Drosophila melanogaster: one gene and its partners. The protein of the gene in region 1 interacts with the protein of each later gene in a pairwise test. Each region holds a gene or a part of one and is shown on either strand. Other genes may lie near its edges.

Evidence for each region.
Region 2: the proteins of Sec16 (region 1) and lost interact in a two-hybrid assay, tested with the Drosophila melanogaster proteins (one large-scale study listed by BioGRID).
Region 3: the proteins of Sec16 (region 1) and CG14711 interact in a two-hybrid assay, tested with the Drosophila melanogaster proteins (one large-scale study listed by BioGRID).
Region 4: the proteins of Sec16 (region 1) and Septin1 interact in a two-hybrid assay, tested with the Drosophila melanogaster proteins (one large-scale study listed by BioGRID).

Annotation. Positions count from the first base shown.
Region 1 is NC_004354.4:12,594,074-12,599,096, reverse strand, and holds the start of Sec16 (secretory 16), read right to left. Parts: upstream 3,051-5,023; 5' UTR 2,863-3,050; intron 2,422-2,862; exon of another isoform or gene 2,360-2,421; intron 2,197-2,359; exon of another isoform or gene 2,128-2,196; intron 1,752-2,127; 5' UTR 1,745-1,751; coding exon 1-1,744. Other genes in the region: CG1824 (uncharacterized protein), read left to right, coding at 3,551-3,600, 3,766-4,129, 4,205-5,023.
Region 2 is NT_033777.3:4,401,053-4,408,033, forward strand, and holds lost (lost), read left to right. Parts: upstream 1-2,023; 5' UTR 2,024-2,149; coding exon 2,150-2,228; intron 2,229-3,416; coding exon 3,417-3,587; intron 3,588-3,648; coding exon 3,649-4,367; intron 4,368-4,427; coding exon 4,428-4,496; intron 4,497-4,548; coding exon 4,549-4,759; intron 4,760-4,814; coding exon 4,815-5,203; 3' UTR 5,204-6,130; downstream 6,131-6,981. Other genes in the region: CG14647 (uncharacterized protein), read left to right, coding at 1-86, 302-433, 549-863; CG32944 (uncharacterized protein), read right to left, coding at 6,385-6,951.
Region 3 is NT_033777.3:11,621,418-11,625,621, forward strand, and holds CG14711 (uncharacterized protein), read left to right. Parts: upstream 1-1,921; 5' UTR 1,922-1,993; coding exon 1,994-2,128; exon of another isoform or gene 2,129-2,183; coding exon 2,184-2,309; exon of another isoform or gene 2,310-2,368; coding exon 2,369-2,877; exon of another isoform or gene 2,878-2,885; intron 2,886-2,937; exon of another isoform or gene 2,938-2,939; coding exon 2,940-3,074; exon of another isoform or gene 3,075-3,132; coding exon 3,133-3,243; exon of another isoform or gene 3,244-3,300; coding exon 3,301-3,418; 3' UTR 3,419-3,531; downstream 3,532-4,204. Other genes in the region: CG14710 (uncharacterized protein), read left to right, coding at 1-36, 98-221; Zaf1 (ZAD and architectural function 1), read right to left, coding at 308-527, 598-732, 790-1,439, 1,498-1,620; CG6813 (uncharacterized protein), read right to left, coding at 4,094-4,204.
Region 4 is NC_004354.4:21,355,989-21,362,257, forward strand, and holds Septin1 (septin 1), read left to right. Parts: upstream 1-2,297; 5' UTR 2,298-2,387; coding exon 2,388-2,405; intron 2,406-3,523; coding exon 3,524-3,716; intron 3,717-3,782; coding exon 3,783-4,041; intron 4,042-4,167; coding exon 4,168-4,533; intron 4,534-4,600; coding exon 4,601-4,850; 3' UTR 4,851-5,700; downstream 5,701-6,269. Other genes in the region: sol (small optic lobes), read left to right, coding at 1-80, 153-659, 719-985, 1,057-1,199, 1,269-1,446. UniProt on the Drosophila melanogaster protein: Involved in cytokinesis. May be involved in p53-dependent apoptosis.

The DNA of each region.
Region 1 (5,023 bases):
GACGTTCTTGCATATGCAGAGCAGCTGCCTGGGCCACATTAAGTGGTGGCTGCTCTGTGGCTCCAGTGACCTGGCGTTGCTGCTGCGAATCCAACTCCGGTTGGCCCAAAACCAGACGAGACAGTCCTGGTGGTGGCAGCAGGCCCGCATCCTGATCCGCTTCACCTTCGCCCAGCTGCTCGGACAGGTGGCTGGTCTGCAAGTACTGGGCCCGTTCGTCATTTGGCGCGGACAAAACCTCCTGATTGTCCGGTTCCAAATGCGCAAAAGCCTGTGGAACAGCCGGTGATGCATAGAGCGATGCGTTAGGTACAGGAATGGGTGCAGGAATAGGTGCACTTAGTGGAGTTCCAAGTGAAGCCTCAACAGGTGGCGCCGCAATTAAGTTGAAACCCTCTCCATGAGCTTCTGCTGGCATACCAAAGAGCTGATCTGCTGGTGGCGGAATTGGTGCTACTGGTGCCACAGGAGCAATTGCAGCAGCAGGAGCTGGAGGCGATGGAGCTCCTGCTGCAGGATCTGCCATTATGTTCACTCGCTTATTTAGGCCCGTGGAACGCTTGAAGGGATTGGAACCAGACGATGGAACTATGCTAGGTGGCAGTGCGGCCGGTGGTGCAATAGTTGTAGCGTCCGCTGGCGGTGCTCCTACTGGTGGTGCTCCCACTGGTGGTGCTCCTACTCCAATGATGGGTGCTGGAGAAGCTCCTACTAAAGCGGAAGGTGCTGGCGAAGCTCCTACTCCTGCAAGATGTGCTGGTGGAGCTCCTATACCGGCGAGATGTGCTGGCGGAGCTACTACTCCAGTGGGAGGTGCTGGTGAAGCTCCTACTCCTGCGCTATGTGCTGAAGATGCTCCAACAGCATAGATTGGCGATCCCACAGCAGTCATTTGTGCAGAGAAGGAAGTCAGTGATGTTGGTGGTGGTGCTGCAGTTGGTGGTTGGTTTTGGAAAGCCTGGGGAGGCACAATGGCATCCAGTTCGGGTTCCTGCCCCAGTTCCGGCGGCGATTGTGGCTGCTGGTGCAGCAAAGGTATCGATTGCTGATTCAATGGCTGTTGTTGCAAGGACGTTGACTGCGGATTGGCTGGTGGCGGCAACTCTCCATTGTTATTGACATTATTGCTAGTGGCAAACGCCTGCCAACTGCCTTGCGAGGATTGAACATTGAAGGAATCCTCCAGCAGTTGTCCGGTTGGCTCTAACAAGCCATCGGTGCCGTTGCTATTATTGTTGTTGCTATTGTCGTTCCAATCGCCCCAATCACCCCAGCCATCGCTCCGGCCGCCACCACCACCTCCTCCGCTATTATTGTTGTCAAACGAGTCCAGAGCTGGTTCCGCTGGAGCCGGGACTTGTGGCTGCTGCTGAGTGGGATAATACAGTTGCTGCTGGATTGTATGTTGCTGCTGCGTAGGCTGTTGCTGCTGTGGTGGCAGTTGCTGCTGCGGTGGCAGTTGCTGCTGCTGCATAGGATGTTGCTGCTGCTGTCCCGGAAAGTAGTTATTGTAGTTCAGGGATTGTGGCTGCTGCTGCTGTTGATGCTGATCCTCTGGCCAATAATTTGGCTGATGTTGCTGGAACATTTGGCTGGCATAGACTTGCTGCTGCTGCTGCTGGGCAGGAAGAGTTTGCTGCTGTTGGGGCATTGCATGTTGCTGCTGTGGAGTAGGATGTTGCTGCGGCGCCTGTTGCTGCTGCTGCTGATGCGGTGGCAGCCAGGGCGCATTATTGTGCAACATTTTGGATCTGAACAAAGAAAAACAAAAGGATGTCAACTTTTTAACTCAAAAATGAATGCCTACTTATTTCTACAGAAATCACGTTAATATCCTGGTAAATCGTCAATTTAAATATCTTTTTAAGGTGTTTTCAGGTCCCTAGAGATATCTTTACCCGCAATTTGAACAGGCTTATTTTCCAAAAGAGATATTCAACCGAAAAAAGGGTTTAAAGGTATGGTATGGTAACGAAAAAACTTAATATTAAAGTGTTCGTTTCTTCGCCCAAGATATTTAAAAGGTTTCTAGGTGTTATAAGGAGTTTTCCGGGGAGATTGCAGGGGGTGGTTGCTGGATTTTGTGGGGCAGTTCAATGAACCAAACCAGTTTTGATGGAAAATTACCCGTTTTCTTGGATTTTCCTTAATGACACTTGGAAACCGTGAAGAGTGATGGAAAATACGCAATCGAATACTGAACAAAATAGAATTTAGGGTATATTATAGAGCTCACAATGAGCGGAAAAGCAAAAGTTAAAAGTTTACGTGGACGTTTGCCATATTTTGCCCCTTCTCCCTCCCACACTCTTCTGGTCTTCTTCTTCGTTTTGTTACCACCGTTTCATTGCTCTCTTACTTTTGTTGTTGTTCTCTTGACGCAGCAGGTTTTTTGTTTTACCTATTTTTTAAGCCGCTGATAATTTGTGCAGTTGATTTTTCGAATCTGACCTTAAATATACTTTTTTCATTTCTTTTTTTTTTATTTTTAAATGTTTTTTTTACCACTTCGCAAGTCAAAAGTGAAAACACTCTCTTGAAAAAAAAAATTGGAGCAGCGGTGAGGGAGAGAAAGAGACAGCACTCTTTTTTCTTTCTCTTGGCGAAAAAGAACCATACGCAGGGTTGCAATCCGGTGTTTTTTTGCGAATTTTGAGCACACAATCGCTTTTACTAGCCACAATAAACTAAAGAAAACACTTTTCAGGTGGCTTTGTCAATTATCTTTTATAAAAATAAAACACAGCCTAATATTACGAGAGAGAGAGAGTAAACACACATTCGCAGGCAGGTAGGTTGCACAAACACACATACAGCTCTCCTTTTTCTCTTCTAATTAGCTTACGCTGCACACTGACTTACACAAATCGCTTGTTTATTTACACGCACTCGGTACGGCACTTTTTTCGGCTGTACTTAACTAAAAATATTATACAAGTTACTGGTTTGCTGACGTTCTTGGGAGTTAAACAATTAAATATGAAATTTTTTCAATCCGAACGCAGCAATGAAATCAAATGCCAACTCGACTTTCGTGGTGTTGCCAGACTGCCAGCAGATAGAGATGACACTAAACAGTTGGATTGGTGTGACAGGACAGTGGTCACTTAAAAAATCATATATTCCTACATTTTAAATATTTTGTATTAATATAAATGTATAAATCTTTTCAATCGATAAATCAATTAAACAAATTAAATCAATTCCACATTTCTTGCTCGTATCCTATAAAACTTATAATTTTTTGCTGCATTGGAAACTAGACTTCGATACTCATTTAAAGTAATAAATGGACAAATGCAAGTTTTTAAAATAAGTCTATTTTTTCTGTTGGTTTTTATTATTGATCTTCAGACTTTTCATGTAGAATCATTATTAAAAGGGGATTCAAAATATTGAACAGGAAAATATCAGCAATGCCCCTTTAACGACTCGCCGAACAATCGATAGCTTACAGTTGCCCATCGCTAGCCATGCCTGTGCGTCTATCGCCAGGTGATGCGTTAACGCTTGCGTATTTTGTTGATATTTGCAAGCCACGCGAGAAGAGATGCTGCGCCTACTCGTGTCCAATTGCGGCAGGAGCAGCGACATATTTAGGTAGAGTAGGGGTCACCATCGCGGGCGAGGTTCTGGGCCGCCGACGCACGAGGATCTGCTACGGCCAGCAGTGAATTGGGGAAACAACGACTCCCCCTCGCCCTCACTCCGGTTATGTCATCAATCAGCCAACCTATTATTAACCGCCTATTTCGCTTTGTTTAGTCGCCACCTGCTGCAGCCCACGCAGCAGCCACTGCCACGCCTCCAGAATGCCGCCCGCCTGATGCGCCAACATTTGCGTGGAACGAACGCTCCCCAACCGCCCGCGATACCGCCCACAAATGCCAGCCGCCTGCTGCAGACGACACGCCTGCTTGTGTGGGGCGGTGGTAGTTTAGCTATCGGTCTGGGCGCCCGTTCCTGGTGGGCGGGGCATCGCGGAGCGATCGTTCATTGCGAAGGCAGCCGGCTGGCCATTCGAAAGGAGGAGGAGGAGGAGGACACTGCGTCGGAGCAGCACTTCGACTGGAAGCGTTTGTGGACCTACTTGGAGCCACATCTCTGGGAGCTGATCGGGGCCGTATGCGTGAGTTCTTGGATCACAAAAAGCCCACGAACAGGTGTAGCATTTGTCAAAATATTTAGCTAATTTCATTTGCAGGCCGCCCTGATAGTGGCTTATATCAACATACGCATCCCAAATCTTCTCGGTGACCTGGTAAACACACTGGCCAGATATGCCAACACGTACGTGATGGATCCGATTAACAACTCGTTCGTAAAGGACGTGAGCAAACCGGCCAGCAATCTGCTGAGCCTATACATGCTGCAATCTGGTTTCACCTTTATGTACATCTACCTGTTGAGCCGCGTCGGTGAGCAGATGGCAGCCAAGATGCGGCAGGATCTGTTCACGCAGATTGTCGTCCAGGACATCGCATTCTTCGATGAGAATCGAACGGGCGAGCTGGTCAATCGACTAACCGCCGATGTACAGGACTTCAAGACCTCGTTCAAGCAGTTCGTCTCCCAGGGACTGCGAAGTGCTGCCCAGCTGATTGGCGGCAGTATATCGCTCTTCATGATTTCACCGCACATGGCCGCCATTGCGCTGGCCAGCGTTCCGTGCGTGGTTATGTTCATGACGTATTTGGGCAAGAAACTGCGCTCTCTAAGCAAAAGCTCACAGGCGCAGGCGGAACGAGCGACGGGTGTCTGCGAGGAGGCGCTGTCCAACATCCGAACGGTTAGATCCAGTGCCTGTGAATACCGCGAGATGCAGCTGTTCGAGGCGGAGACCAATGAGGCGGCTCGCCTGGCGCAGAAACTCGGCTACGGCATCGCAATCTTCCAGGGCCTGACCAACTTCTTCCTCAATACACTAGTCCTATCTACGCTCTTTATGGGCGGCCACCTCATGTCTACGGAGAGTCTGTCGCCGGGTGCTCTGATGGCCTTCCTGGTCGCTTCGCAGGGTGTG
Region 2 (6,981 bases), on another chromosome or scaffold:
CCGTGATAACGGAGCTGCGCTTTCAAGGCGTTAATCTGTCTGGGGCCGATCTACGAAAGCTAGATTTTCGCAACATTAACTTCAAGGTGTGCGCAAACGAATTTCATTTCAATGCATACATTGTGTAATACAACATTTTAAGTCTTTCCAACGCCGTAACACGACTGCATTTTAATATTATTGTAGTTTGCTACGCAGTAAAGGAGATATTTTCGTCCGGAAAAAAATGGAAAATTATTGGTGGAGATCTATCAAGTTGAAGACAATAATTATACTAAAGACTATCCCTTTTCCTTCACAGTATGCCAACATGTCTCACTGCAATTTGTCCCACACCAATCTTAACTACTGCTGTCTTGAACGGGCGGATCTTCAGTACGCAAACTTGGAATGTGCCCAACTAGTGTCAGTGCGGGGACTTTGCGCCAATATGGTAAGCACAGGTTTAACAGAAAACGCTATTAAATAATCACATCATTTGTGAAACTAGTTGTAACAGATTTACGCCATCCAATTAGCTAAGAAAACTAATCTGCCTAATCTTTCAGGAAGGTGCAAACTTGCGTGGGTGTAATTTTGAAGACCCAACAGGAGTTCGAACTAATCTAGAGGGTGTTAACCTCAAAGGAGCATGTTTGGAAAGCAGCAACATGGCCGGTGTTAACTTACGTGTGGCAAATTTGAAGAACGCCAATATGAAGAACTGTAATTTGCGAGCTGCGGTGTTAGCAGGTGCCGACTTGGAAAAATGCAATCTTTCTGGCAGCGACTTGCAGGAGGCAAATTTGCGTGGGGCAAATTTAAAGGACGCGGAGCTTACCCTAATGGTGACCCCATTGCACATGTCACAGGCCATACGATGATATCTTGGTTGGCACCTATCACTAATATTACTGTTATTGACTGTACATACTTAAAAGTTTAATAGTAGGTTATAAAATAAACAGTATTAGGATTGAATTTCTAAAGTCGTGTGTATTATTCTTATTCCTTACTCGTAGAGTAAAAAAGTATACTAGATTCGTACTAGAAAAGTATGTAACAGGCAGATAGCAGCGTTTCCGACTATATAAGGGATATATATTATATATAATCCGGATCAATAGCCGAGTCTATCCGTCTGTCCGTATAAACGTCGTGATCTCAGGAACTATAAAATCTAGAGGTTGGGATTAAGCATACAGATTTTAGAGACGCGGCTCACGTTTGTTGACCCATGCTGCCATGCCCATTCTAATGCCCACAAACCGCACAAAACTGTGACGCCCACACTTTTAAAAAATGTGTTGATATTGTTTCATAATTTAATTAGTCTTGAAATTTTCTATCGATTTGCCAAGAAACTTTTTACCACACCCATTCTAACGCCCTAAAAACGCATTCCCACTGGCTGAGTAACGGGTATCTGATAGTCGGGGAACTTGACTATAGCGTTCCCTCTTGTTTTTTTTAATGAAATTTCGCGTTCGCATTCACACTAGCTGAGTAACGGGTATCTGATAGTCGGGGATTTCGACTATAGCATTCCATCTTGTTTTTTTTGTTTATTACATAGTCTTAGTCGCATCACTAAAGATTCTTTTATATTTTTATATAAAACATTCCTTAGGGACCTTGCAGAAGAGTTACATTTAGAAAATCCTAAGCCGGGGCAGGAGCCTGTGTTAATTATAGTTTATCCTTCGATTCCTTTATCTACAAGAAACATAAATAAAGAAAATAATATAAAATTTATCTATTTTTAGTTTTTAATACCTTATTCGCAGTGATCACAGCTTACAATTTTACCGAACTATCTGGGTGGTACTCGATGTTTATTAAAATAATATATAACAATTGAAGCGAAAAAAGATGATGGACTTGCATGTAGATCTAATGTATATTGTCGGTGGCGTGTATAAGCTCAGATGTATAACTTTTATTATATTTTTAGCTAGAACCATCGCAAGCAACTCTATACGAAATGTATCGATGTATCGCATCGGCGATGTTTTTTTACGTCACCAGAGAAACGTCAATTTTCAAACGTGGTTTGTTGGAAGCCAGCGGAGAACGGTAGACGTTGCTTGTGAACTGTGAACTGTGTAGCCGTAGCCTGAGCCGGTAAAAAATTGTGAGCAGAACTAAAACACAATTGGCGAGCGATTCGATGGAGGACCAAAGCAACGCAGCCCCCGCTGTCGCCGCGGAGAACGGCGGAAACACCGCGCAGGAGGTGTCTTCGACAAGTAAGTGGCCTGCCCTACTACCCCGCCCGCTCGCCGACGAAAATTGCGTGTAATTCTCGCGAGTGCTGGTGATTCCATAAATGTTTTGCGCCGCGCCGCGCCTTGCTCGCTGGGCATCCAAAGTGAATACCCATGTTCCAGAGGGGCAGGTGCCCGATTCAGCCATTTTCTAGGTGCCAGTGTAGAAGCGGAAGATTGTCGAATTCCGCCATATTTATTTCTAGGAGACCCTAGCTGTAAATAAGAGTTGCCGAAACGCCGAAGTTGCTTGTTGTTGACACTAATTACGTCATCTTTGCGCGCATTCTTCCCACAATTACAAAAAGTGAAATGAATCATTTTCGGTGCTCTTGGCCGATTTCGATTTCGAGATTCTGTGCTCGCAGTGTCAATTCACCCGCTCGCTTGCGCCCCGCGCTGCCCGACACCACTACACGCTCGCGGCACTGCTCATACGAATACATATTAATTGAGAAATTCGCGAGTCGATGCGCTCATCGCCCAGAAATGTGTGCGTGCGAGTGTGTGCGTGTCGAAGCGTTGCCAACTTATTGGTCATGCGTTAATATCGGGATATGGGTTCTTAATTTGTATTTCTCATTGAACCCGCCAAGAAAGACGGCCGAAATAGTTTTAGCGGCCAATTCATACTTCAGTTTCAATTCAACAAGCGCACACACATGCATGTTGACGTGTGTTCTTTAACCAGCACAGGTGGCAACCCTGCCGTCCCGATTTTGCATGCAGATTTTTGTTTTCAATGATACGGGCCGGCGTTTGCTGGTGTATGTTTGGGTCACTTTCACATCTGATTACTGGGCGTGGAAACCGGTATATCAGCCGCGGTATCACTTTTAGTCCAGCGCCAACTAGCGTGATAACACGCGTTCATTACAGACGATAAGGGCAGCGGCTGTGTTGCTATTCAGCACATTTGATTCGCACTTTTACAGTCAACCTCCCCTAACAAAAACTAACATGTCCGAGAAGTTGGGGAATCGCTTGGGTCCGCACGTTATCATACCTACAGATCAGCTCTGGAATGGAATGTGGCTTGATTTAATGAAGGCTAGCTATCACTAACACAAATACAAATGAGCTCACCGCTGCAATAAACTAAAATATGTTTCTTTTAGTCATCTGTTTATGTTATTGGAGCATATTATTGTAACAAACATGTCGTTACAGCTCAGCCCATAGAGCCCACAAAGCGCTCGCTGCGCGTGCAGACCTGGAAAAAGATCCAAGAGGGCAAGGTTGGCATTGGATTCAACAACATATTTAACCGAATTCCTTCGTTCGTGGGTGCCGATAAGGCTGCTGCCTTGTTTGCCAATGAAGAGGAGTTCAAGAAAGCACGTAAGGGAGTACCACAGCCCCGTTTTCAGTGCACCAATTATCACTCTTTCCCGTATTGCAGAGCACATCAAGGTGAACATCGATCGCGTCTTGCATGAGTTTAAGGAACTGGCATTGCTGGCCGACAAGTCCGTATACTTGCCCAGCACCCGCGAATCTTCTGCACTGTGCCTAAAGGTAGATGTGCTGGCCGATGCCACCGAGGAGCAGAAAAAGGAGGCTCTGCGCGTTCAAGATATTCAAAAGTTTCGCTCGGAAATTGGATTGGACAGCGGTCTGAAGCTGGACATCGTGGTTATTGGCTCTGTTGTAGTGTCACGCGAGGGTTACCGCATTGGACGCGGAAATGGTTTCGCTGATCTGGACATCGGCCTCCTTATTGAACTGGGAGCCATTACACCGAAGACAATTATTGTCACAATCGTGCACGACATGCAGGTGGTGGACTCACTGCCCCCGAATCTATTCCAGAAGTACGATACGCCAGTTGATATCATTGCAACACCCACAGAAATAATCAGGGTGCCAAAGCGCTTGTCTTTCCCCAATGGCGTTTACTGGGAGCTGCTGTCCGAGCGCCGTCTAAAAATATTGCCCGTGCTGCAGCAGCTTAAGGAAAGGGAGGAGAAGGCGGGAAAATCCATATCCCTCAAGGAGGAAGACACCGATGTGGAGCAACATCAAAACAACAGACGCCGCCGTGGGCCTGTGCGCCGGCGCATCCAACGAGGAAACCCAGGTCGCACCACTTCGCAGACTGACAACGAACAGCCGCAGGGCGTAAGTCGAATCCACCACACTGTCGGCACTATTGAGTAACTTTTAACTCTGCATTTTTAGGAGACTGCTCAGAAACGCACTCCGCGGCGCAAAGGTCGTTTCGTCAATCGCCGCAGACGTACAACTAAGGTAAGTAGCTTAAATATGACAGCCGAAGCCAGCCTAATCAACGTAATTTTAGTCTGAGGGCGATCAGTCTGGTGTGGAAGCAGGTGCTAAAACTGATGATCGTAAGTTACCAGAGGCTGGCACTGATGAGCGTCGTTCAAAGAAGAACAAGAACAGTGATTTTTGCATTAAGTTGACAAATCTGTCTCGTGATATTCGCGTCAAGGACTTAAAGTCGGAGCTCCGCAAACGCGAATGCACTCCGATGTCAATTTCTTGGAAGGGTATGTCACTTATATTTGGTTTAAAAGCTCTACGCTAACTATACCTTCTCTTTAGGACACTTCGGAAAGTGTTTCCTGCACTTTGGAAACCGCAAGGGGGTTCCCAGTACCCAGGACGACATGGACAAGGTGTTGAAGTCTCTCAACGATCTCTCGCTCACCATTACCACTGGTGGCGAGACAGCCCCAGCTGCCGCCGCAGGGGAGGGCGGTGAGAAAGCAGAGTCAGCTGAGACTGCAACGCCTGTGCAGACCAAGACTATTCTCGTCAACGTAGAACTGATCCAATTTGGCGAGAAGAAAAGTGCTAGCTCCACTGGTGCCAATGCCGGTGCAGGCGAGGATGGAAAAGCAGACGCGCAAAACGGAGGGGAGGCCGTAACTGTGGCAGGAGGCGACGTGGGTGGTGCACGCATCGAAGCTGTCGACACCACCACAGTATAGTATGACTTTGCGCTTGGCGCAGCCAATGAACGGTCGCGGCGGACTTCCGCCGACAGCGCAATGTTTGGAGTTCAACGAAAAAAAGTAACATTTTGTTTAGAAAAAATCGGGAAATACCAAACAAAAAACAAATAGAAAGCGAACTCCGAACAAACACAAAGTACACTCAAAATACACACTCACTAAATACACGCTGGCAATTACACTTGTGCATACACTGAATATCATGTTTTGCAGCTTGTAGTTTCTTCTTCTCCGTCATTATTCTAACCAACAAGAAAATCAAACGCAACTCTTTCTAACGAGAACACAAATCATTGACGCTTTTTCTAAACAATTGCATTTGTTTTTTGCCTAAGAAAATTAAAACGATTGCAGAAATACTCGTTCCACAAATGCAAAGTGGAACACCATTTCTTCTAAATAATCCTTTTACTAACTTCTTGTGACTTGTTACAATTCTGAATTAGAACTTCTGAATATTTGTTAATTTGATTTCACACCTCAGCAATAAGATCGTTTTGCTGTATCTCTGTTAAGCAGTTGAGCTGCTAGTAATAGGGCTTGAAGTTGAGTGCGTTGAAGTTGAAGTAATGTTCTAAAATGTAATACTAATAGGAATGCCCTATAAATGAGAAATACCGCGAGTAAGAAAAAATGAATTAACAAAATATTTACATGTTGCATTTGGTTAGTCTTTTCCAACTTTCACCGCAAACATCAATAAATTTAATAATATTTTTAACAGAAGAACAAGAAATGTGTGAAAGCAAGAATTATACAATGCAGAACATAATTATACAAGGCAGAACATAATTATTTACCCTTTTTTTATACACAAAAGGCATTACAAAAAAAAAATATGAAACATGAATGAAATATAACTTGAAATAAAAATTAAAAAAATCGTAAAAATAAACTTGACCGAAAATTACCCGTTTATTTTGCTTTTAGACTTAAATCTAATATGTACAAAGGTAGCTTAGACCTATTTTATTTAAAAGTTATAAAATGTCATAGTTCTGTATATAATATGCGCATGTACACAAAATGAAGTTTACAGGAGTTCGAAAAATAGGTTCTGGTCTTTATGGATGGATGGCTGACAAGTCATCGTTGCGCAAGTGGGTCTGGTTCTTGTGCAGTTTGAAACCTGTTGCTTATCAACCGCGTCCTAGGTTTTATTTTTGAAACGGACTCTGCGGCATGTCAAGTCTGCTGCCAGCCGATTCTTTAATCTGCGGTGAAGGAGTGCGATCAATGAACTCAATACTCTCGCCCTTTAACTGGGCGACTGCGGATGATGCGGTCGCACAGTCGCCGTCGTGCACAACGCAGGCGGCGGGTTTCTCTTGGATGGGGGCCAAGCTGTTCACGATGGAGTTGGCCATGGCCAGTTCCAGTTCGCGCTGCCAGTCGTTTTCCTTTTGTTCCATGGCTTTGCGCTTCAACTCCTTGTAGCGGTTGTAAACGATGAACTCTTTGACCAGTGCAGTCTCTGGATCGCTGTCGCGTTGTGCTGACCTCTGCTTGGCCAGGCGCTTCTTCTTTTTATGCAAGGGCCGCGATTCTACAATCATTTCCTCCAGTTCTAGGCAAGGATCACAGTTGAGGTGGTCTTCGGGAGGTTTATAGATGGGTTTGATCTTCTTCTCGAGCACCCTCTGGAAGTCAATGTTGCGCAACATGGGCGTTTGATGCAGCTCCTGCCTTGTACTGATCCTAGCACCCGGATAGGTGGAAAGTAACTACAATAGTCATAAAGTGTGTGTTAGTGT
Region 3 (4,204 bases), on another chromosome or scaffold:
TCACATCCTTTCGCACTCCGCCCAAAAGAATTACAAGTAAGGGAGAGTAATCCTTTCTAGTGATTTGCACTTTTTATTAATAATTTGAACTTTTCAGCTGTGGTATCTGTTGCAAGTCATTCACTCTGCTGCACCAGCTGAAAGCTCACCTGCAAACGCTAACCCACCGCAACAAAATGGAGCAAACCATTCCCAGCTCTCCGGAAATGTTAGAGAGCTAATATAGTAAATTAATTGAGGAACTAGGGTTATCTATTATAAGTAGTATAAAGCCACTTTTCCAGAATAGACCAGCTATTTTTATTAACTATTCTACCACGTCGCTGTACTCCTTAGCTATCAGACGGTGCGCAAGAGACTTCTCGTGCGCTGTAAGTTGGTGCTTAAGCCGAAATTCTTTTTTACACATAAGACACTTGTGAGACTTTTCAGACGAATGCAGGTAGTAGTGAGCGTTACGAGAGGAGGACAGAGAGAATGTTTTTCCACATATGTTGCAAGCATAGGGTCTTTCATTCGTGTGCAAACTGAAATGAAGAAATTCAACATTGGAACTTAAATGCTGTACACAATATATATAGTTTTTGTCCATTCTACCGTTCGTGCTTGCGATGAGTGCTGTTGTCGGCAAAACGGCGCGAACAGTAGCAACATTGGTAAGGTTTCTCGCCCGTGTGCGTCCGCATGTGTGTTTTCAGGTTGCAGGCGGCTCTGAATGTCTTTTGGCAAACCCTGAATCATACATTTTATATATGAAATATTATGTTAAGATATATCACGGATACTTACTCGCACTGGTGGTCCTTTTCCTTGCGGTGCACCTGCGAGTGTGCATTTAGCTGAGATAAGCAGCGGTATGTATTGCTGCAGATCTTGCATCTGTACTTGTCCGGCTCGCAGGCCACTCCTAGATCTATCACGTAGTCGGCACTTGGCTCTAGATTATGGTAATCCTCGCTTGTCTCTTGAATACTGTCCGTAGCAGCGCTGCTTTCTTGCGAATACGTTTCGGAGTAATTTTGATCGGAGATCTCCCTGTCCAAATCCATATCACTGATGGTATAGTCCTCCTGGTGTATGTCTTTCTCGTTTTCCGCATTCACGTTGAGATCGAACACGAAATCGCTTGAAAATTTATTTATGGGTAAGATTTCATCATCTTTGGTCGTTTCCAATGCATTCTCTTGAGTCTTAAAGTTAATAGGATTCTCTTCGATGAGTCTCCCCGAAATGTTCTGCTTCCTGGCGCGTTTTTTCTGTTCAAGCTGGTCCTTATCCTCCAGCGTCTCAAATGCCGATGCGGAGGACAGAGTTTGACGAACGAGGCTTCTCAGGTGCGCGTCGGATTGTTTGCACGCGCTAAGAAATCTGTCCACCTCCTCCAGTTGCATCAAGCAGACTGTGCAAATTTGATCCGGCAGTCCATCATCCGGTTTCACCTAGGAGAGAGGATTTGTAACTGGTAAACTGGAAGCCAAACAGAAATCGAGTACTCACAGATGTGCCGGCATACGAGATCAACAGCTTGTGGGCATTGGACTCGAAGAGCGACTGCAGCGTGGATTGCGTTCCTTTTTTGCGGCAAGTGCGGCACATGCTCCATTTAATGCTGATTTCCATCGTTATTTCCGCAGGAAGTCCCTCTTTCGCGTCAAATGCCGATTCAAATGCCAGAGCAGTGAATTAAAAGTAAAAGGGTTGTCAGGTACGCGGAATTAGTAACAGTTTTCAACTATCATTCCAAATTTTTTTGCATTTAGTTCTAAAACTGTATTTTTATTGCGTGACTCAAGCTTAAATATTTAATAGGGCCCACCTGTTAGTTTAAAAAAAAAAATTAAGATTTAATTATTATCAATTATTCAATCGATATGCCGATAGCAAGTTCGATAGCCATTTATCGTTTTGCGTACATGACAACCCTGGGAAAAGTTCCAAGACGCTTGTTTATTTCAGAATTGCAAGCATACGTACGTCCAGGACGTGCAAGATAATGCCCGAGTACATGTTGTGCCGAATCTGCTTGACAGAGGACATCAACTCGGAGGCGATGGCGCCCCTGTTCGATGACAACGACGCCCAGTGCCGGGAGCTGGTGCGCAAGATTGAAGAAGTGGGCAGCATAAAGGTACATGTGGATGCAAATGTAAAATCCTGCGACTTAACCCACTCTGTGCTTTCAGCTGGTGCCGCTGCAGAACATCCCCAGTATGTTGTGCTACAGCTGCGTGGAGCGACTGACCAGTGCCCACAAGTTCCGGGAGCTTTGCCAGGAGAGCGAGCGCACATTTGCCACCAATGTAGTCAAGGTACGTATAGAGTTGATGGGCCACATATAAACATCCCACTTGACCCGGTACCATGTCAGGCCGAGATGAAGTCGGAGCCAACGGACGAGGTGCCGCACGTAGTGGCTGACAACATTGAGTACATCTACGAATCGGCCAACGACTTCATCGACGGTGTCGAGGATGACATCGGAATGGAGAACATCATGGAGGAGCCCCTGGAGGATGGTGTCGGGGAAACGTCGCAGGCCTACGAGACTAGCACTGTAGTGGACGACCTGGACGAGGATGACTTGCTGGTGCCGAATAGCACCGATAGCGACTACCAGCCCATCGAGCGCTGCCGCAAAGCTAAGGTGCGTAAAACGCGGATGACTAAACGTGGACGTGGCCGACCTCGCGGTGCTAGCTCCGGACACCCACGCAGTTTTAGCGAGGAGCGTCCGCCTGTTCAAGCTAGCTTCAAATCATCTCCCGAAGTATCCTCCACGAACATTATGTGCGAAATCTGCGGCAATATCTACTCCAAGCGAGCCGCTCTCAACATTCATATGCGTCGTCATATGGCCGAGAAACCATTTAAATGCGAGTGAGTATCTGAAATTATCATCTGAACCATTTTATATTATGTAAATCTTATTCCGCTTACAGAATATGCAGCAAATCCTTCGCGGGTCCATCCGAGCTAAATCGCCATATCCGCGTTCACACGGGCGAGAAACCATTCTTGTGTAAATATTGCAACCGCTCGTTTGCGGATCGCAGCTCCAATATTCGTCATGAAAGGTGAAGATGCAATTCCTCATAGTAATCTTCATATAAACTATACTTGTTCCTTTTGCAGAACACACACAAACGAGCGACCTTTCACTTGCTCCACATGCGGCAAGGCATTCTCCTACTCTAACGTGCTAAAAAACCATATGCTCACCCACACGGGCGAGAAGCCTTTTCTGTAGGTCCATTGACTGCTTTAATCATGTATAACCCTAAATTCCCTTTAATTTTTCAGCTGTCGAGTCTGCAATAAGACCTTTTCCCGCAAGCACCAGTTGGATCAGCATTTGGGCACCATGACCCACCAACAGACTGTAATACACCACAAAAACGAACGGACGGGGCGCTATTAGTCGAAAACAATGCAATACAATTTCTGTTAGATAATTCATTAATGTACATTTAATTATATATAAAAATTGTAAAATAAAAAAGAGTACAAATGGTCAGACCGGATGTGTAAAATAATCGGATTTGATTTATTACTATTTGGTTAAAGAACTTGTTCAAAAACACAAATATTTTTTGTAATGTTTTTTATTACGTCCATATATTCGAGAAAAAAATTGGAACACGATTACAATCTTTGATTTTGTGCGTTTATTTGGTAGTTTTAACATCATTTTGGCCATTAAATGAGTGTGCGTTTTTTATTGTTTCTTTTCTTTGTGCTCTGTCGAAGACTTTGTTACCGTTTGTGGAAGCTACAACATGGAATAATAATCGAATGGCACAGGATTAATTAAATCTTCTTTTTTTGGACAAGTAAATATGTTTTGTTTTTTTAGGTTTATAACTTGTAACGTTTTACATCAAAATCTAAAAACGTTTGGAAGTCGGGAGGGATGCGGCTCTTCTTCTATTCCTTAGGGAAACAAAAAGTAAAACCAAATATGCTAGATATTCGCATAAAATGGATTTATGCGAATACCTGTACTTAAATGTACGTCTACCTTGTTAAAGAAAAGGACGCGGAATTTTAGAATTCTTACCGATAGCTAATTAGTGTAATGGCTAGATAGGCAGCTTCATTGTTCAATGGCTAGCTCCGTGAGTTTCTCTTCTTTGCGTTTATGAATATTGCTGGACAGGTGGGTCATCAAATGGGAGATTCGTTTGAAGTGCTTCTGACATACGTA
Region 4 (6,269 bases), 8.8 Mb from region 1:
ACCTGATATGGGCCCAGCTGCTGAGCTCTCGATGCGTACGATTCCTCATGGGCGCCAGCTGTGGCGGTGGCAACATGAAGGTGGGTTCTGCGTTATTACAAAGTCTTCTTCTATTTCATATGCTTATGCTCAATTATCAACATCAACCAAAGGTGGACGAGGAGGAGTACCAGCAGAAGGGGCTGCGCCCGCGACACGCCTACTCGGTGCTGGACGTGAAGGACATCCAGGGACATCGCCTGCTCAAGCTACGCAATCCGTGGGGTCACTATTCGTGGCGTGGCGATTGGTCGGATGACTCCTCGCTGTGGACGGACGATCTTCGGGATGCTCTGATGCCGCACGGCGCCAGCGAGGGCGTCTTCTGGATCTCGTTCGAGGATGTGCTTAACTACTTCGACTGCATCGATATCTGCAAGGTGCGCTCCGGCTGGAACGAGGTGCGTCTGCAGGGGACATTGCAGCCCCTGTGCTCCATCTCCTGTGTGCTGCTCACCGTGCTGGAGCCGACGGAGGCGGAGTTTACCCTATTCCAGGAGGGGCAGCGCAACTCGGAGAAGTCGCAGCGATCGCAGCTGGACCTGTGCGTTGTGATATTCCGCACCCGGTCTCCGGCGGCGCCGGAAATCGGTCGATTAGTGGAGCACAGCAAGCGTCAGGTGGGTGCTTCCCATAGCCCTGCAAATAGAAACGCTTCTAACAATTGCGTTCCATTTAGGTGCGAGGCTTTGTGGGATGCCACAAGATGCTGGAGCGGGACATTTACCTGCTTGTGTGTCTGGCCTTCAACCATTGGCACACGGGCATCGAGGATCCCCACCAGTATCCTCAATGCATCCTAGCGATACACAGCTCCAAGCGTCTGCTGGTGGAGCAGATAAGTCCCTCGCCGCATCTCCTGGCCGACGCTATCATTAGCCTGACCCTAACCAAGGGACAGCGGCACGAGGGGCGCGAGGGGATGACCGCCTACTATCTGACCAAGGCAAGTGATCCGGTTGCGAAGGGATCTAGGGATTCGGTGGCCTTACTAACTCGACCGCATTTCCTTTACAGGGCTGGGCGGGTCTGGTTGTGATGGTGGAAAATAGACATGAGAATAAGTGGATCCATGTGAAATGTGATTGCCAGGAGAGCTACAATGTGGTGTCGACACGCGGCGAACTCAAGACAGTGGACTCTGTGCCCCCGCTGCAGAGGTGGGCTCCCAATCGACCACCTAAAATATTCCCCCAACTAATTGCTTAACGTGTGCTTAACGCTTTCAGACAAGTAATCATCGTTCTCACCCAACTAGAGGGCAGTGGCGGCTTCAGCATCGCCCACCGGCTGACCCATCGTCTGGCGAATTCCCGCGGCCTGCACGACTGGGGGCCACCCGGCGCCACCCACTGCCCGCCCATCGAGAATGTCCATGGACTGCACGCTCCGCGGCTAATCACCTAGAATGGGATAGGGATAGGGATGGATGGCAGTGACGCAATTTCGATGCTACCCCGCGATATGTCGCTGTTCGAATCCTGATTTGCATGCGTCTCCTCTCAATTCTACCCGTCTTCTAGTCGATGTTCTGTTAACGAATCACACATTACAGCGAAAAACCCAAAGTTGAAACCAATCAGCATGCGAAACAATTCATATATATGTGTATAGAGCCGTGCAGATATGATATATGTATGTGTTTATGCACTAAGGCGTATCGGAAAGTGGGAGCAGATCCCCGGTGGGGATACGGCAGAGCCCAGAAGCCCCAGTCCGGAGTCCTAAGGCTAAGGCTCGGCACGATTCGCTTGAGATCCAATGATCTGTGTTTTGATTAGAGCGGCTATGATTGTGGATTATATAGATATGTATTGTGAATTTAAGTGCATCCAATATTAATATGTGTATTGTTTTAAAAATAAAGACTACAAGTTATAAAAGCCACCAATGTGTAAACAATTTCAAATGTGTACGCGCGAATTGGAAAACGATTCAATCAAAATATACCTTACGATACACAATAGATGGCGCCAGGAGATATTCGACATGGTATCTACATAAGATGTTATCTACTGTCAAAAACGCTACGAACTAAATCGTAAATATAGTCCGGGCTTAAATTTCCGATTAATAAAGTGAAATCATAAAAATATAGTCATGATATAATATAAACCATATAAAACCATAATAATTAAATAACTTATTAAATATGGTTACGTTCAACCAGATTTTCAAAAGAAATACCAGCTTGATCTTGTTCAGACGGTCGTCATTTTTGTTTTGCCGCCGAACTGGTCCCACTGGCAGCAGGATTTGCCAGTTGCGCGCTGCGGTCACACTAGTTGCCCTGCTATTTTGTTCGTCATTACGTTGATTTCTTCGTTCGTTTCGTGTTTTTTTTTAAAATGGCCGATACAAAGGGCGTGAGTAGCCGCTGTTCACTTGTCCAAATGCTAATGGCCAACGGCCAGTCCCCCAACGAACTCGATCCGCCGCCAACTGGGCGTGGCGTGCCATCCACTCCTGGTTGCCAGTGCATCAAATGCCGAATGCGGCGCTCCTGTTGATTTGTTTGCCGCTCATCTCGCCGCGCCAGTTCATCGGACACTCCTCCTGCACCGCCCTTTGTCCACTCGGTGGGAGCGGGCATTGCTGAGCGGGAGTGGAGAAGGAAGTGGAAGTAGAAGTCAAGTGATTCACAACATGCCGGTGGCGTCGGCGTTGTTCCTTTGTTCCCGGGACCTCTGCCGCCCTCGCGAAGCAACTTCGGCCGCCCGTGACCCACATGGCAGTGCATTCTGGTGCACGGAGAAATGAGTGCCGTGCCCATAGTTTGGGCGCCCAAGAGAAAACTGATCCGCGCGTGATGGGCATGCAAATCAAGCCAAGCCATCGCTTTCTAAGACCCAAAACCCTAACTACCAGACATTAGCTCAACCCAACTGAGTTGGGTTACGAGTTAATAAGGCATATGGAATACTTTCAATCACTTGTCCATTTTGGGTCATATCCTTGAACCCATTTCTTAACTCAACTCAACTTTCTCTTCATGAGATGCAAGTTTTTACTATTCCCAAAAGTGTTTTACCGAGAAACATAGTTCCAATTAATTGGTAGATAAATTGATCGACCGCAGATATATGTACAATATTACTATGATTTATCGTCAGTCTGCATTGCATGGTTTTATAGCTTAATCAGCATAGGCTGACCCACTTAATTATTCGCATATGTATTCATATGTATAGAACACAATGCACGGCACATTTAGTTAATATGCAATTCGTTAAGATTATAATTTCCATATGCAAAAAAGTCCACATTTGTTTCGCCTTTAAACGTTCCAGAAATAGTGCTGATATTGAACTGAGTAATTCTTGGTTTTGCAAGCAATGTTTGATTGTTTACCTGTTCTGAAATTAAAGGCATTACCTATCTAGTAGATTCTCAGAAAGTTTCTAATATTAATTATTTTTATTTATATATGAAGCCTAGGACTTTTGGTTCTCTATACTAATGTTATTCACCTATTCTCGTGCAGTTTTCCAGCATCGAGACGCCCGGCTATGTGGGCTTCGCCAACCTGCCCAACCAGGTGCATCGAAAGTCCGTGAAAAAGGGATTCGAGTTCACCCTAATGGTGGTGGGCGAGTCCGGACTGGGCAAGTCCACGCTGGTCAATAGTCTCTTTCTCACCGATCTCTATCCCGAGCGCATTATTCCGGACGCCATAGGTGGGCATAGTCTTTCGTCATCACTCGCTTTGATTACTCATCCAGGAAACCATTCCCCTCTTGCAGAGAAACAAAAGCAAACCGTAAAGCTGGAGGCATCGACGGTGGAGATCGAGGAGCGCGGCGTCAAGCTAAGATTGACGGTGGTGGACACACCCGGATTCGGCGATGCCATCGACAACTCCAACAGCTTTGGTGCCATACTCGAGTACATCGATGAGCAATACGAGCGCTTCCTGCGCGACGAGAGCGGCCTGAACAGACGCAACATTGTGGACAATCGCATTCACTGCTGTTTCTACTTTATATCGCCGTTCGGTCATGGGTGCGTTCCTTTTCCGTTTAACTTTTGAACATTTAATATTAAAAATAAGGAGTTCAAAGCTCAGTAGTGTTGCAAATTGTATAATAGAAAGTATAAACGAAGTATCACATCAATTTTTGTACCCAGCCTAAAACCCCTGGACGTAGAGTTCATGAAGAAGCTGCACTCTAAAGTTAACATTGTGCCCGTGATCGCAAAGGCCGATTGTCTCACAAAGAAGGAGATCCTGCGCCTGAAGTGCCGCATTATGCAGGAGATCGAGAGCCACGGCATCAAGATCTACCCACTGCCAGACTGTGATTCCGATGAGGACGAGGACTACAAGGAGCAGGTGAAGCAACTTAAGGAAGCTGTGCCTTTCGCCGTCTGCGGCGCCAACACACTGCTCGAGGTCAAGGGCAAGAAGGTGCGCGGTCGTCTGTATCCATGGGGCGTGGTCGAGGTAGAGAATCCCGATCACTGCGACTTCATCAAGCTGCGCACGATGCTCATGTAAGTGAAGCAAATATTCCAATATCTGATTGCTTATTAACTAACCACCTATCCCGCTGCCCCACAGCACCCACATGCAGGACCTGCAGGAGGTCACGCAGGAGGTGCACTACGAAAACTACCGCTCCGACCGCCTCGCCAAGGGCATCAAGGGCAAGGAGAACGGCGTGAAGGCCGAGCGGGACAGCAGCTCGCAGGTGGTGTCGAACAGCGTGCTCGGCGAGAAGGACCGCATCCTGCAAGAGAAGGAGGCCGAGCTGCGGCGCATGCAGGAGATGCTCGCCCAGATGCAGGCGCGCATGCAGGCCCAGCAGTGAGCAGGCGGGTATATCTTTTATATACGCGCTTGGCGGAGGCGGCAATCTCTAGTTATACACAAGTCGTATATATACACATATACAAAACATATATTTTGTACGCAGATTTTGGTTGCGATCGCGCTTTAATTCTACTCTCAATTGTGAAACGACGGGCGCTAAGTATTCTGTATTAATTTCGCATTCTCCATATATATATATCCGTAGTATCTAGATATACACACCACATACATTTATACACACATCTAACTTACACCTGCCGCGTATGCAAATGCCTGCAATGCAATTGCTTCATCAGAAAAACAAAGAACATAAGGAACACCAACCATCAGCGAACTCATATCACTTCTATCAAGCGAAACCACACACGAAAACAATTGTATTCCTATTATGTATTTAGACGCGATTAACAATGAATTATTATTGTAATACGCATCTAGGCTAAGCGAATCCAATCCGATTTATATTGTATGTTAATTCATTTTTGTCTGTTTACCTTACCCTTATCTGTGTTGTCTCAAAGCGAGCAATTTATTTAGGTTATACTATATGTTGCGTGTCAGCCTGCCCTTCCGATCCTTCTTGACCTCCATGGTCCGCTGTCCTGCAGTGCCGCCCGATTCCTAAGCACGATCTGATTGAATAAACAGTGATCCCTTCCTAGGCGGTCCCGGGAACCCATGGCCAGTTGCGGAAACTCGGTTTAGCAGGCTACTCGCTTAAAAGTGCACTCCTTTAACGGATGAAACAAAAACCAAAATGTGAAATCTCTTTTATTATGTATATGAAGACTTTTTTAACTCAATATAATCCTCTATGAATATATAAATATGCTTTTTATACAATTTGTAAGCCAGACCGTCTTATGCATTTTCTTGTAGTCTCCCATTTACTCAAAGTGTAAGGGGGCATACTATTTGTATTCTTGAGGAGATCACTAGCCGACTCCATCCAGTTACATATGTATGTACATATATGTACGTCTGTCCGTATGAGCGTCAATATCTCGGAAACTTTAACAAGCCGAATGTTCCAACTGCCAAGCCCATTTGTTTGTTTGATAAGTTTACTTTTGTTGTATTTCAATAACAATAGTTAGGCATTCATATCCTTTAGATACATTTGCAGTTGTGTTCGCCTGATGCCTGGCAAAATCTTAACCTTTTAGACACTTTTCACAACTGCTTGTCTTGCTTTTTTAGAGCGAAACCAAAATGCTCATTCAACGTATGCATTCGAAAACACAAGCAAGCACAAGAGTAACATTGCGAGATTTCACTATCAGCTTTTCCAATCACATTGGCATTATTGTTAGTAGAACAAAAGTTTTACTTGTACATATTTGTCAAGCGTTCGTCGAAAGAGCTTAAGGATCCTCACAACCTCAAGTATCCCTAGTTCAACCCATACTTGAGTATT